2 linked regions of the Lonchura striata genome follow. The protein of the gene in region 1 purifies or fractionates together with the protein of each later gene. This does not show direct contact. Links are inferred from orthologs where the notes say so. Each region holds a gene or a part of one and is shown on either strand. Other genes may lie near its edges.

The links. The genes of interacting proteins can lie anywhere in the genome.
Region 2: the proteins of CDK5RAP2 (region 1) and PCNT purify together in Homo sapiens (co-immunoprecipitation; 4 studies listed by BioGRID and IntAct, with this or other methods). This does not show direct contact. The link is inferred for Lonchura striata from reciprocal best matches to the Homo sapiens genes CDK5RAP2 and PCNT.

What each region holds. Positions count from the first base shown.
Region 1 is NC_134624.1:1,084,624-1,092,409, reverse strand, and holds the start of CDK5RAP2 (CDK5 regulatory subunit-associated protein 2), read right to left. Parts: upstream 3,019-7,786; 5' UTR 2,891-3,018; coding exon 2,838-2,890; intron 2,721-2,837; coding exon 2,659-2,720; intron 2,014-2,658; coding exon 1,946-2,013; intron 1-1,945. UniProt on the Homo sapiens protein: Potential regulator of CDK5 activity via its interaction with CDK5R1. Negative regulator of centriole disengagement (licensing) which maintains centriole engagement and cohesion. Involved in regulation of mitotic spindle orientation.
Region 2 is NC_134610.1:33,103,161-33,110,210, reverse strand, and holds the start of PCNT (pericentrin), read right to left. Parts: upstream 3,070-7,050; 5' UTR 2,990-3,069; coding exon 2,936-2,989; intron 1-2,935. Other genes in the region: C8H21orf58 (uncharacterized protein C21orf58 homolog), read left to right, coding at 6,973-7,032. UniProt on the Homo sapiens protein: Integral component of the filamentous matrix of the centrosome involved in the initial establishment of organized microtubule arrays in both mitosis and meiosis. Plays a role, together with DISC1, in the microtubule network formation.

The sequences.
Region 1 (7,786 bases):
AGGAATGAAAACCAAGACAATTATATACATCCTGCACAAAATATTCCACAGCATGAACAGCATGGCAGCAAATCCTAGCTCAGATGAGCTCTGTTCCAAGCCTGCATGGAGCCAGTTTTGTTCAAAAGGGATTTGTCAGCAGTGGCTGAGGTTTCACAGCACAACAGTTTTCAACTATAAAGGCTGTTTTAGATTTACAGTAAAACTCTAAGAAGGATTGGAGAGACAAGGAAGAATCCCACAAATACTATTAGCCAGCTCCCTTAAGTGATACCCATGAACACCTCATTACCCATAACAAGGTCCTCCTCAGAGATGCTTTTCACTTTGCCCATGTAATCATATTTTCTATAACAGAATGGTTACCTCCATATTGCAACAAAGTGGGACTCCATAAATAATTCAAAAATCTGCACCTCCAACATTGCACAGCTCAGCACCTGCTCCAGGTATAAACATTAAAGGACCTTTCCTACATGGATCCACTTTTTAGCCCATTTAAGGGTCATTACATCCATCCTGTTCTCTCTGAGCTATGAGGTCAGAGCTCATTCTTTTCATTACATCCTACTTATAGCCTATAGGAATAACAGAGTTATAGAAATAAGTTTACTGTGTTTAATGTATATTCTTCTTCCTTCATGTCAGTGGATCTTTGAGCTTCATTACACTACTGGCATCCAGAGTTTACATCCCAGGGGAAGTTTTACAGCTCAGTTTACCATGAGGGGTCTGAGCATAGCAGGATGCCAGACCTGTGGGGAGGCCCCTGCTCTACATCACACAGGACACACAGCAACAGATTTTTCCTTCTTTCTGCAACTTCTTGTTCCCGTGCCCAGGAACCCTGCAGACAGTAAAACACTAGCAAAATGTATATTCTGGACAGGGGTCTTTGGCACACATCACAGTAAAAGATTTTAAGCACATAGCAATGCCAAGGCAGTGTCTGTCTACCCCAGCCAACACACAGAAACAAGAGAGAAAGGGAAATAGATACAGACTGCAAAAAAACATCCTTTTCACCAAAGGCTTTCCAAAACAAGCTTTACATTCTGAGCAAAGAGCAGAGCTTTCTTCTCAGAGGTCATGTAAGGCCATAAGAAACTGAAAGAGTTTGTAAGAAACGCTCATTTCAAACACAGCATTGCCACAAAAGGTAGCAGCAGCAGCACACTGAAACTGCAGACTCTTGGCACAGCCCAAAGGCAGCAGTCACAGCTTTTATCTCTAGCAATCATCTCAGAGATTTCAGACTGCCTTCCCCTCTACAGCTTCTTCACACAACAATAAATACCTTAAAAGTTTTTCACTCTAGTCCTTAACTGGGAAGTTGTCCTGCAACACAGCCCAATCAAACCATCCAGCAGACATAAACAACTGTCTTATTCAATTTTAAAAGCCTGTATAGTTAACATATTTTTAAAAATCTAATGTTTTCCCTTATATTCTAGTAAGTGCCAAAATACTTTTATCTACAAAACTGTCACAATGATACTGGACTTCTACAACACAAGCATTCCAAGCACACTCATGCTATGACGTTAAAAGGCATTATATTAAAGTCAATGAATTAAAAAGCCAAATCCCACACTAACCTAAATGAAAATAAACTTGATGCTTCCCTGAAATAAATCAGCAACAGATGTGCAAACCAAGTTCTGATGTTTCTGAGCTGCAGGAACTTCTGAGCAGAGGGTGCCAATTTTGTTTCACAACTTCAGCACAGCAGTTGGCCACTCTGAGCAACAAATTCCTACCTCAGTTTTTGAAAGCAGCACATAAAAATGGAGGTTCAAGGAATGGACAGGGACATTCACCTGGTCACACCTCCAAAAGATGTGTATCAACTGACACAAACTAAGAGTCAACACATCAGCCAGCACGTTGGAAATATCTTGGCTATCAATTTGTCACTGAGTCTTACATTAAAAGTTCTGCTTACATTTTCATAATCCTTCATGGTCCGAGCTCGAGCTGGTGAGACTGTGTCTTCTGCCACATCTGGTACCACTAGACATTAAGTAGACAGAACAAGTTCAGACAGCAGAATCTCTCTAAGTAGGGCTTCAATTTGGCAAAGGTCTACACTAATCTAAACACAACAAAACCTTTAGGGAAGTGACAGAGTCGCTGCTTGGCCCCCTGTTTACATTACGTGCCAGTATCTACATTCCTTTCTGATCACAGAAAGCTGTCTATCACATAAACTCCCAAATTCCATTACCCACCTAAATGATGATGCACACTGGAATTCGGCTGTGTGAGGTGCGCTGTCAAGAATAAACCCTCACAGCAAGAACTGGGAGATGCACAGCGCGCAGCTTCCCGAGCCCTGAGCAGAATGTGACCGAGCAGCGCGGCCCCGCTGGATATTCCAAGTATTTTAAGTACACGCCGCACAAAACCGCTGATCATCTTATATAAGGCTGAAAGCCCTCATGACCACAGGCAGCGAGCACACAGCAGTGACGGCAGCAGCTGTCGTGTTAAAAACTCTTAAATTACGTTAAAAAGCGCATCACTTAAAACCTTTTTTTTTTTTTTTTCGTTTTTGCCGCCAGTTTGAGTTCCTTTTTGCCGCAGGTTTGGGGAGCAGCGCGAAGCACCGAGCCGGGCAGGGAGGGATGCGCGGGCTGCGGCCGCGACCAGCCTTACCTTGTCGGCCGGGCGGGCCGGGCGGGGGGTCCCCGCGGGAGATGTCCGGGAGCTGCAGGGCGCTGGGGAAGAAGGAGGAGAGCGCTGAGAGCACAACCCCGCGGGCTCGCCCCCCTCACCCCATCGGCGGCCGGGCCCGCCACACGCACCGCGCTGCCCCGCCCGCAGCTCCCCCGTACCTGCCCTCGAACGCCAGCGGCAGCGTCGGGTCCTCGCCCGGCAGCGAATCCATGGACGGGCCCCGCGGCTGCCGCGGCTCCCGCCGCCTTTGTGCGCGGCTTTGGCGGCTTCCCTGGAATTCAAACGCCCGCAATCGCTTCCGCCATCTTCGCGTCGAGCGCGCTGAAGCCGCCGCGGGGCGCGCGGGGGGCGGGCGCAATGGGAACGCAACGGGAGCCGCCCTGTTTGATGAGGGCAGCGGCCATGTCGGCTGAGGGCAGAGCGGGGCGGCCGCTGCGGGCAGAGCGGGGCGGCCACTGCGGGCAGAGCGGCCGCTGCGGGTAGAGCCGGGCGGCCGCTGAGGGCAGAGCGGGGCGGCTGCTGAGGGCAGAGCGGCCGCTGAGGGCAGAGCCGGGCGGCCGCTGAGGGCAGGGCAGAGCGGCCGCTGAGGGCAGGGCGGCCGGGCGCTGTGAGGGACGGAGCCCCGCGCTGACCGCCTGAGGGGACGGGGCGCCCGAGGCGGCGCGCAGCGAGCGGGGAGCGGGTGATCCCCGCCGCTGCCCGGGCCCTGCTCCATTACCGCACCCATTTGGAAGGGAGGCACCAGGCGCCGGCTCCTGCCGAGCCTGGCAGAGCCGCTGGAGCTGGTGTTCACCGCGTTCCCCGCTGCGCAAAGCCGTCACTGGGCTTGGCGGAAGAAATAAACACGCGTTAGTTCCACGTTCTGGTCACTGCTCATCGCAATCGGCCTGCTGCAGGCAGCTGCTGACATCGTCCGCACGGGCGGGTTCTGAATCATCTGGGAATTTTTTTGATGAAGCAAAGTTGTAAGCGTGTCGGCTGTCCCCCTTTTTGTGGGAGAAAATGCCACCGCATTCGATATTTCTGAACATCGAGCTGAACGGGATAAAACGCTGCTGTTGTGGCCCCTCCTGCGCGGGGCATGGCCTGGGTAACAGCGCCGGTCACAGGTGGAGCTCCGGACCCTGCTTGCTCTGCATCCTTTGCCTTCCTTAAATTCATTTAGAACCCGTGTGCAGGATTGAAATACCCCCGGCGATATTTACATGATCACAGAGTCACAGAATTATTTAGGCTGGAAAAGACCCCTGAGATACGGAATCCAACCTTTGACTAATCCCTGCCTTGTCAGCCAGCCCAGCGCACTGAGTGCCATGTCCAGTCGTTCCCTGGACACCTCCAAGGACAGTGATTCTATCACCTCTCTAGGCAGCCCCTTCATAATGTCTAATCACCCATTTTGTGAAGAAATTTCTCCTGATGTCCAACCTGAACCTTGCCCCTACAGCTTGAAGCCGTTCCCTATTGTCCCTATTGTTCCCTGGAGCAGTGCCCGACCCCCCTGGCTGTCCCCTCCTGTCAGGAGCTGTGCAGAGCCACCAGGTCTCCCCTGAGCCTCCTTTTCTCCAGGCTGAGCCCCTTCCCAGCTCCCTCAGCCTCTCCTGGGGCTCCAGCCCCTTCCCTGGACACGCTCCAGCTCCTCAAGGTCTTTCTGCTCACAAGGGGCCCAGAACTGGACACAGCACTTGTGGAACCTCACCCGTGCTCAGCACAGGGGACAATCACTGCCCTGCATCTGTGGCACACTATTGCTGGTATAAACCAGGAGCCATTGGCCTTCTTGCCCACCTGGGCACTTGTTCAGCCATGTCAAACAGCACTCCCAGGTCATTTTCTACTGGGCTGCCTTCCAGCCACTGCCCCAGAGTGCATCAAGAATCAAGTGGGACTCAAGTCCCTCATGCTGGGACTTGCTCTTAGCATTCTCTGTAACACAAGGAAGCACAGGAGTGACCCTGTGCATTAGATTTGGTTTCCTCTTTTGGATTTGGTTTCCTCTTTTGTACCAACTCAGGTCAGGTTTCACTCACTTTCCTTTAGACTATCTCAAGGGGACTCTTACCCAGCCAGGAATTAGGCCACGGATAAGGGCTGACCACAGGCCATGAATTCTGTGAGCTCATTATTCCCAGTTCTGTGAGTTTATTATTCCCAGTTGGCCTGGTGCCCTGTGAACTTCACTTCCTCCATGTACCTGCACTGTTTACATTGGCACTCACCTGTCAAATGCCCCAGACTGGTGGGAGCAGCCACTGCAGCTCTGGATGTGTATGGTCATGATGGGCTTCCCATCCCTGCTTAATTCTTTCAGCTTCATGTGTACAAGTGCCTGACGGAGCTGCAGCAAAGTCCCAAACTGCCAGAAGTGCCAGGCACTACTTAGCACAAGTAAAGCTCTTCAGCCCATCTCCTGTCCAACTGGACAAGCCTCATGCTTTGCATTTGGGGTCTGATGACCCCAAGGGATGTTTAGTCCCTTCAAGTCCCCGTGAGAGACCTCAAGAGACACTGGTCACCTTATGTGACTGAAACCCTTTTGCAGTGGCCTCTGCCAAGCTGAAATTAAGTTCACAAAATCAGGTCTGCCATATGGCACCAGGATCTGATCAGCCAGGCTGAAATGTGGGTTTTCCTCATTTACAGAGCAGATCTTCATAAAATGAGTAAGTCCACTCACTTGAAAGGATAATACCAATTTGTTTAATCTTGTTTAAGGTTTCAGCGAGGTGTTACATATTTGATGTGGGTTTTTAAATCAGCATCCATCAGCCACAAGTGCAGGGTAAATTACTCTGCACACAGAGCACACAAGTCTGCAGAGTCACAGCTCACACACATGTCCAACACACTGTAGTCAAAATAAAATCAGCAGGGCCCTCCTTGTGAAGTTCATTACTTCATGAAGTGGCTGTCTGATGGACAAAGATAAGGATATATAGACATACATCCCTGCCTATCTTCCCTGGAAGTGCTCAGGGGCAAGGTGGCTTGGAGCAACCTGCTCTAGTGGAAGGTGTCCCTGCCCATGGCAGGAGGGGAAATGAGATGGCCTTTTAGGTCCTTTCCAACCCAAACCATTCTGTGGTCCTATGATTCCATGTATACACACAGCCAGGATGGAAAATTTCCCTGGGAAATTTCCTGCACTGCCCCATGTTTTACAACCCGCAGTAGCATCAGGAAGCTGCAAGGGGCAGAAAGGACTGGGAAATGTGTTGTTTAGAAGTAGTTAACAACATGCCTTCAGATAATCTGCTTAGTGTTGTTTAACCTTAAATTCATTAGCAGCACATTTGGGGAGATTACACTAAACCCTCACACCAGGAAGCTTTGTTGGAACTTTCTTTCTTCTCAAGGCAGCCTGAGATCCTTCCCACCTCAGGCAAAGTCCTAAAGGGAGTCTGGGAAAGGATTTCTGGGCAGTGCAGTGTAGGGCTGAGCTGAGCAGGACGGGAGCCAGCTGCTGGCTGTGCTGGCACAAGGAGGGCTGATGTCACCACCAGCTGAGCACGGGTCCCCTCACCCTGCTCTTCTCACTCCCTGCTCTGGGGACCTGGTTCAGACTCAGTTCTGCCTCCTCCTCACACCATTCACAGCAAGATTCTTCCTAAGTTAGGTCATGCACGATCCAACCGCTCTGCTAATGCAAATCTCAATAAACTCCCTTGAATTTCACCAGTGTGGCCCTTACTTACACAGCCCAGTCAAACCTCTGCATGAACACTTAAAAACACATGCTCGATCAGTGTATGAAGCCTTACCTCTCCAAGTTCTTTGCTTAACAAGAATTGTAGAGTCACACAGAGCTTTCACCAAAAAAGAGCCTTTAGCAGTCGTTTGCAAAACAAAATCAATTTCCTAACTCTGCCAAGTGAGAAGGAAATGCAAGTTTTCCACAGGCCTCTCTGCAAACACTCCCAGAACTGATGCCACAGATGTGGATTTCAGAATATTTGTAAGAAAAATGGCCTTTGAAAGACATCTGTGGTCATGGGGAAAAGTCTGATACAATATCCTCATCCCATTTCCAGCTTTGCTCTGAGGGTTTTGTTGCTAGTGATTCACATCTCTGACAAAATGTGTCCATGTGAATGATACAGAAAACAGTGGGAAAACAGTGATTGCCTGTGGAGCTCCCAAACACAGCTGAGGGCTGGGATTGTTCATAGCAGACACAAGAGATCAGAGGGTTCATTTTTCAGTTGGATTTTCTGACACAGAATGTCAACTGTGCTTATGAATATCTGTGATAGAAAACATTTTTGTGCCTTGGTTCTCATCTCGCATACAGGGGCATAATGAAGAAATAATTCTCTTGGAACAAATGTTATTACTGGGATGAGATTGGATTCAATCCTTTCTGTCACTGGGAAGACTCTTGCTGAAATTCAATGAACAAAAACACGAATGCAAAAATCCAAGTGGCATAGATACAAATTATATACATTTATTTTTATTCATTTTAAATAACATTCTTCTGTATAAATTCTGACATATATTCAAATCATACACTTTTTTTTTTCTTTTTAGAAATGCATTTGTAAGCATAGCATATGCTTGGGAGACGCCGTATTTGGATGTAGAGTGAGACTGATGGGTTTCAGATGGGAGCAAGTAAAACTTTTAAGGCCCACATTTTTCTTATTTTAATCCATTCCTCTGACACATAAAGAGCAGAGTCCTGTGGGAGCTCAATCTAAATTTCACTTCAAAGAGAAAACTATTTTTATATCCTTTATTTAAAGGAGACTGCAAACTTTCTGCCACATTTACATTGCCTGTAACATTGAAGAGGATGATTCTGCACAGCAGTGGTTAACTGGCCCAGGATACCTGAAGGATGTTGGATATATCCCCTCCTCTTTCCTAAATGCCTGCTAAGTTTGCTCAGCCTGGTCCAAAGGAATTATCATTCCAGTGGCTGACATCTCCTGAAGCTCCCCAGGGCTAGTGCTCCTCGTAGCTATTTCCAGCTACAGTGGTCCACGAGATTGGACAGCATCTCTCCTCATTAGCCCAACTTTTCTGCACGTGTGTTGCACTCCAAGTGCTCCCCAAGCTGAGAGCCCTGCAAGCTGCCCCGAGCCCTGCCCCACCCCAGCCCTGT
Region 2 (7,050 bases), on another chromosome or scaffold:
CACTGTCCTGCACAGCATCCCAAGCAGCTGTTGAAACACAAGGACACCTTTCTATAGGTACCAATGCACTGCAACTTCAATTCACCAGGACCAGCTGGTTAAAAGCTGATGCATTACTTCACATGCTTCAGAAATTAGCATCAAAACCAACACCCAGGGAAAACAGAACAGAGCAGAAAACCACATCAGCACCAAACAGAAAAGAGGTTGTTCAAATAAACATTAGTCCAGCTCTTGGATACAGCAAACATAAGCAACAAGTACTCTTAGACAAAACCAATAAATATATTCTAGACCTTCCTCAAAATGATGAGAAAACTTCCTGGAAAACCTGCACTCATTTTTAAGGTCCTAACTATAAAATGGAAGCAGAGCAAAACTTGCCACACCTGAAGTGTGGCACAGAGAGCTTTGTAACTAGAGGCACAGGTGGTCAACATGCAGACTAATTAATGTGAGGTAGAAACAAACGAGGAGAAAAAGGCAGCACTGAATAATTAGGCTTGTTCTGTTTCTCAAATACTAAACTGGCTATCAGTATTTTGCATTTGTTAGAAATAGGAATCTGAGGTACCTGATACAGTCAGGTACTTAGCTGCCAATTACAGTCTCCAATAAATATAACAGTTACATTACAAATATAACAGTTACATTACAAATATAACAGTTACATTACAAATGTTATTAGGTGATCATTTAAATGCATCTTAATAATGGAATTTTTATTCCTATAAGAAAAAGAACATTTGATAATGAAAAGGAGAACATGTAGATCGTGTTTCTTTGCCAAGTCATTGCTTAGCAGACTAAAATCTAAGGATGCTAAAGATGAAATAATTCATTTCTGGAGGGTGGGGGTGAGGCAAAAAGCCCTCCAGAGTGAAGCAGCATCAACCTGCAGTTACATCAGTGCACAGGTTGCTACAACAGAGGCCTCTAACACACAAGCCAGCCTCACTCCTGCCAGGAGCTCCTCTAGAGATGGTACAGAAAGCTGATCTGATGGACACTGAACACTTCTGTGTCACACCAGAGATGGATCTCCTTAAGCTGCTCTAGGCTGCACCACAGCAAGGAGAACCTGCACTTGCTCACAATTCTTCCTCCCTTTCAAAACTGTGCTATATCCATGAGGAGGGGAGCAGAAAGAAAAATAGAAAAATGAAAAGCAGAGGAATAAGAAAGGGGAAATGTCACCTGGGTGCTTTTTGAAAGCTGTCTGGTGCCCACAGTCTGCCAGCCAAGGAATAGATCTCTGTGACATTTTAATCAGCAGGGGAAGTGCTACATCTATCTCTGCCTCTCTAAAACTCTCCCTCTCCTCTTAGCATTCTGTGCAGCAGCAACATTGATGGGGCTGCCAATCATGTTTGTTCCTGGTTTGCTTTTTGTTTTTAATGGGAAGAGAGATTTAGCACACAGTATAAAAAATAGTAAATGCAATCCTGGCTCTGAAGGCAAAACTTGAAACATAAGAACATAAGGCAAGTCCCTGTTTGGTTTTTTTTTTTTGTTTCTTTTACTGGTAAACAACAGTTTGCCAACAGGTGGGAACTAATAACTTACTCAAGCTAAGTCTGTCACATTTTTCTAATAATAAAAAAACTCCTGCACCTGGAATTAATCTATGTTAACAGAAATGTTAACAGAGGTTGTGCCATACTAAGGTAACCTTTCAACCTTAAGAAATCCTTTCAGAGCTCTCTCTCTGGAACAGTTGCTCTCCAGCAGAGGATTGTGTTCTCACAGCACATAACAAGGCTGGGAAGGCAGGCAGATGAGAAACTGCTGAGCAGGAGCAGGCAGTGTGGAATCCATGGCAGCATCAGGGAGGGCAGGAGGAACTCTACTGCCCATCACCAGGCTGCAGCTTCAGCTACAACCCTGCTCCCTTCCACAAAAGCTCTCTTTGACTTTCCTGTGCACAGCACTGTGGAAAGCAGCTAAAACAGAAATACAGCAGACACACAGGACAGCTCCAAGCCACCTCTGACTCCACTAGCCAGATATCCAGACAGGTTCCCTGCAAAAAGTAAAGGATCTGGAAAGATCTGATGGGTCACAACTTCCTCTAGCTACAGCCCCCTCCAGTCTAATGGAATGGTGAGAACTAAAAAGCCTTATTTAGCAGGGACAGCCAGAACAGAAACATGACAAAACCAGCTCAAAACCCAGCAGAAATGCTGAACTGAAAGGAAAATAACCAAACATTTCCAATCAGCTCCTTGAACATAGTTACCAAAACAAAGCAGAAGTGTTTATCTAACGGGGTTAGAACACAACCAGCGTTAAACACATGGTTGCAGGTAATAATTACTTGGAGAGTGTTATCTTTATATCCTGTGAACGCTACACAAGTCCCTAAACTACACCCCAGTGAAGACACCTGACTATTCAAAGCTTATGAAGTGTTTGCTTCCGGCATGACTGGAAACCAACAAACGGAGCCCAGCTCTCTGCTCTCCCTGCGGGCACCAGGCAAGCGAGTGAGCCGGCCGAGTAATAAACCAGCACCCGCTCCTTGGGACCCTCAGCTGGAAACGCAGCATTCCCACAAACACCGAATCCTGGGCAAGACCGGGAGCGCTGGCAGGCAGCAAAGAACAAGCACGGAAAACAGAGCCCGAAGGGCGGTAGGAGCGCTGCTGTCAGCTGCTCTGTCGGCCCGAGGCAATGTTTGCACGACTTCTGCCGCGGGGCCACCGCGGTCCTTCCTCTGGGGACGTCTGCTCATTAACGGGGGGCCAGGAATGAGCCAGCCACACACGGAATCTTGCCGGAAGGGATCTGCAGGGGACACAGCCGGGCCGGCGCCCCGCACCCACATCCGAGCGCGGCGCGAAACCCGCCACGGAGGGGCGAGACCCGGGCCGGGTAAAGCGAAACACGCAGGGCCTGCCGGCTCTCCCAGCGCACCGGGACCCCTTCCCCTCACCTTAGCCCTGCCTGCCTCCAGCTTGCGCCTCCGCGCCTCCTCCGGCGTCTCCATGCGGCGGCGGGGCCGGGTCGCGCCGCCCGCGCCCTCACGGCGGCAGCGCAGCCCCGGTCATGGCAGCGCAGCCCCGGTCATGGCCGCCGCCGCCGCCGCGCCGGCCGCACCGCGCGGGCGGAGCTCCGCAGCCATTGGCCGCAGCTCCCGACGCGCCGCGGCCTCTGGCCAATGGGAACGGCTCTCTTCGCCGGGCTCCGCCCACTCCTGCTAAATGGCTGCTGGGATACCCCGGGCAAGCCGGCGCCAGCCGCCGGCCCCGCCCCCCCCGCGGCAGCCACCAATGGGAGCGCCCGGCGCCATTTCAAAAGGAGCGCCGTTCCCGCCCAGCGCGGGAGCCAGCCAATGGGGAGCGCGGGCAGCCAATGGGGAGCGCGGGCAGCCAATGGGGAGCGCGGGCAGCCAATGGGGAGCGCGGACAGCCAATGGGAGGCGCGGACAGCCAATGGGGAGCGCGGGCAGCCAATGGGGAGCGCGGACAGCCAATAGGAAGCGCGGACAGCCAATGGGAAGCGCGGACAGCCAATGTAGGCGAGGCTGGGGATGCCATTATGGCGCAGCGAGGGTTGTTGGCTCCCTTCCTGCCTTTTCGCTTATTTGTAAATTTTCGGTGAAGAAATCAGTTAATGGCCATGGGTTCTGAGGTGCATGATTGTCTTCGGTAATCAGTATTCTGTCCTGTGTTACTAATTGATTTTTTGCTCTTCATGCTAATTTGGTTGTCATTCTTTCATCCCTCTATCGTCATTTTCTCGGACGTGGAGTTGTCTCCAGCTTTCCAGGCTTTTATCTCCTCTGGAGTCTTCTGGTTACTCCAACGTCCTTGAAGGGCCATATGTTGAAGGTCCCACATGTCCAACCTTCAACTCCCTTTTGCTCTGCTTATTGATGCTACAAAGCTAGTGGCTTTTTTTTGTGTGTGTTTTGAAATCATTAAATTATAAAAATACAGGCTTTAGTCAAATCTGTTACTTGGAGCAGTGTGCTGGATTGGCAAGCATTAAAAAGCCCATCTGCCTCGAGGGCAACGCCAAAAGACAAAGTCTGAATGATGAGATGTCTCAGTGAACACCTCCGAGGATCAGGAAACCACAGATTTTTTGAGCAACCTGTTCCAGAGCTTCACAGAAATTAATTTTTTCCTAATATCCAATCTAAACCTACTCTGTCAGTGGGAAGTCATTTCCCCTTGTCCTGCCACTCCAGGCCCCTGTAAATTACCTCTCTCCATCTTTCTTGTAGGCTCCCTTCAGATACTGGAAGGCCACAATTAGGTCACCCCAAAATCTCTTTTTCAGGCTGATCAATCCCAATTCTCGCAGCCTTTCCTCAAAGCAGAGCTGCTCCACCCCTCTAATCATCTTGGTTGTTATCATAACATCCTTTTAAATTGTCTTTCAGAACTCATAGAAATTAAAATTAAGGTATAAAACATCAAAATCAATACAAGACATCAAAGAATTCAATACTGGTATGGTCCTCATCAGGTTATCTAATCCATTCTTATATCTGAGGGATCCTGCAATGTTCAACAAGTTTGGTTTTATAATTGTTTGTAAACAACTTGTGTGAAAGTTGGGGGTTTTTTTGATAGCTGCTTCATCATTTCCCTTAGTGGCTAATGAAGATTTCTTTCCCTGGTTTTATCAGTTTTTCTCTTCCTCATTAAGCCAAATACTTGTGTTTTTCCAGATACAACCCCCACCCTTCACCCCACTCTGATTGTATCCTCTAATTTATTTAAAAACTGCTGGCCTGTCCTCTTTTCACCATCTACTTACTAATTGAACAAAGTCAGTTCTTTTGAAGTGTTCCTTGGAACCTACATTTTGTAAATTGAACCTTTTTATTATTTCTTTTTCCTGGACTTTCCTTCCCTCTTGAACCACCATGTCTAAAACTAAGTGCAGTGTCCAAACTCTGACTTCAGCACTGCTAAATAGAGCAGAATAATGATGTCCTCTGAGGTGCATGTAACACACCTGTTATTCCTCTGTAGGATTAAATTTGTCTGGTTTTGCTCTTTTGAATCCTCATTCTCAAGTGTGATCCATTGTTTGGGATTCAGTGTAGCTACAGATCCCTTCAAGCAAGATTTTGTGTGTGGCTGGCACATTCCTGGCACCCAATTAATGAGCAGGTTCTAAGATGTCCCAAGGGTAAGGATCACACTGTGACCAAGGCATCCATAAGTGTGGGAAGAGATAGCTCCTTTAGCAGGTTTGCTAGAAAGTGCCATTAAAAAAAAAAAAAAAAATTTCCCTACCCCCTAGTATTAGATTTTCTCTGGGCTATCTGTTACATCAAGCAAAAATTTCTCTTCATTTCCTCTTTAGGAAATTCAGTTGCTTCACACTGGTGCTGTATTTTTAATGCAATACTCATACCTGTTTATTTTCGTCAAGTTCTCTTGTAACCCTCTATTCATACGATGGTGAAGTCTAGAAATTCAGCTTTTAGGAGCACTGTTGATAAAATAACCAGCCAGCAATCCAAAAGTGGTGGGTTTCTCTCTCAGCACAGAAACAAGCTATGCTGATGCAGTTTACAGGCATAACTAGGAAACTCCTAGTTATGGAGTTTCCTATAATTTAGGAAACTCCATAACTAGGAGTTGTGGAGTTATAAGTTAGGAACTTATAAGTTATGAACTTATAAGTTAGGAGCTGTCTGAGCTGCAGCTGCTCAGATGAAGCAGTCAAAGATGTTAGAGAAAATTCTGTTTGGTGTTTTCAAGTAGAGAATTGGACTGGGAGTTGTTTCCCAGGAGAGCTGCTGGCAGGTGAGAGGATTTTCTGTTCTGGCTCATTGCTCCTGCCATTCACCACAAAGCCCTGCCCCAGCTCGGGCACAGCACAGCTGTTTTAGGGATCCCTGCACCTTAGTTGCCCTAATTTCTCCAGTGCCTTCCAGCCTGTGTGTTTTTAGGGATGGGCTGTGTGGGTCACAGCTGGGGCAGGTGATCTGTACTGCTCTCACACATCTCTGAACTGCTCCAGCTGCCAGCAGTGGCTCTGCTGCAGTTTTGTTGTGTCCTTTGAGGGAGGAGAGGCTTGTAACTTGTCTCCTGGGAGCAGTGGATTGTAACTTGACTCTCTTGGGCTTAAAATATCCTACTGAGAAGGTGTATCTGTTCCTTGGCTTTTTTTCTCTTGCCTTGGTGTTCATTTTATGGATGTCACTGATAAATGTGACCCTGTTTTTATGCTGGGAGAGGGAGACATTCTACAGGTTTCTTGGGAGATGTTACACCATAGCCTCTTCACTTAGCCAGGGGAGAGTTCCACCTATGCTCCTTAATTTTTTCAGTCACTCTGTGGTAATAACTCACGTAAAGAGCTACGTCAGAAGTGTGCAGACCCCCTGTAGGGGAATAAACAGGTACCAGTCAGCAAGATCATAATCTGACTGCTGGCACTGGCCTTGTTTTAAAGAACCATTGGCTTTTATTTCTTTTTTTCTTGTCCACTAATGTGCCAGGCATTTGCTTTACCAAAGGTACACAAGCTTCTGTGCTTGGAGATTAAATTGTTTATGTTACCTGTTGACACTATAAACTTAGCAACCAGGTTACAGACACAAATCTCTGAGCTAATTAAAAGTCTCTAACAACACAGAGGCCAGGCTTAGAGATGCTGCCAGGGGAAGGATAGCAACCATTAGGAAGAGACAAATAAATAAATATTCAGTCTCAGTTGCCTTCCTGTGAACATCACAACCTGCAGCACAAAAGTATGTTGAGAGAAATGGCAGGAAAAAGCTGTGTCTGTGAACTTATGAATGCCTGTTCTCATTCTGGCCTGGGAGTGAAACTGAAGCTTTTATCTGCTTCTCTCAATCTCTCCTCATCTTGTATTACTGTTTTTTAATAATGGTATTATTCTGTGAAAATTGTGGAGGGGGAAAAAAATGAGCACTGAAAGCCTATCTGTCTCTGTTTAGCTTTTTAACCTGCTTTTGCCTGCCTGCTCTTCCAGAAGATAATGGCAGATCCTTCAGTGGTGGATCACCTGACACGACTGAAACTCAAACTCCTAGAAAAGGTAGGGGAATAATTCTGC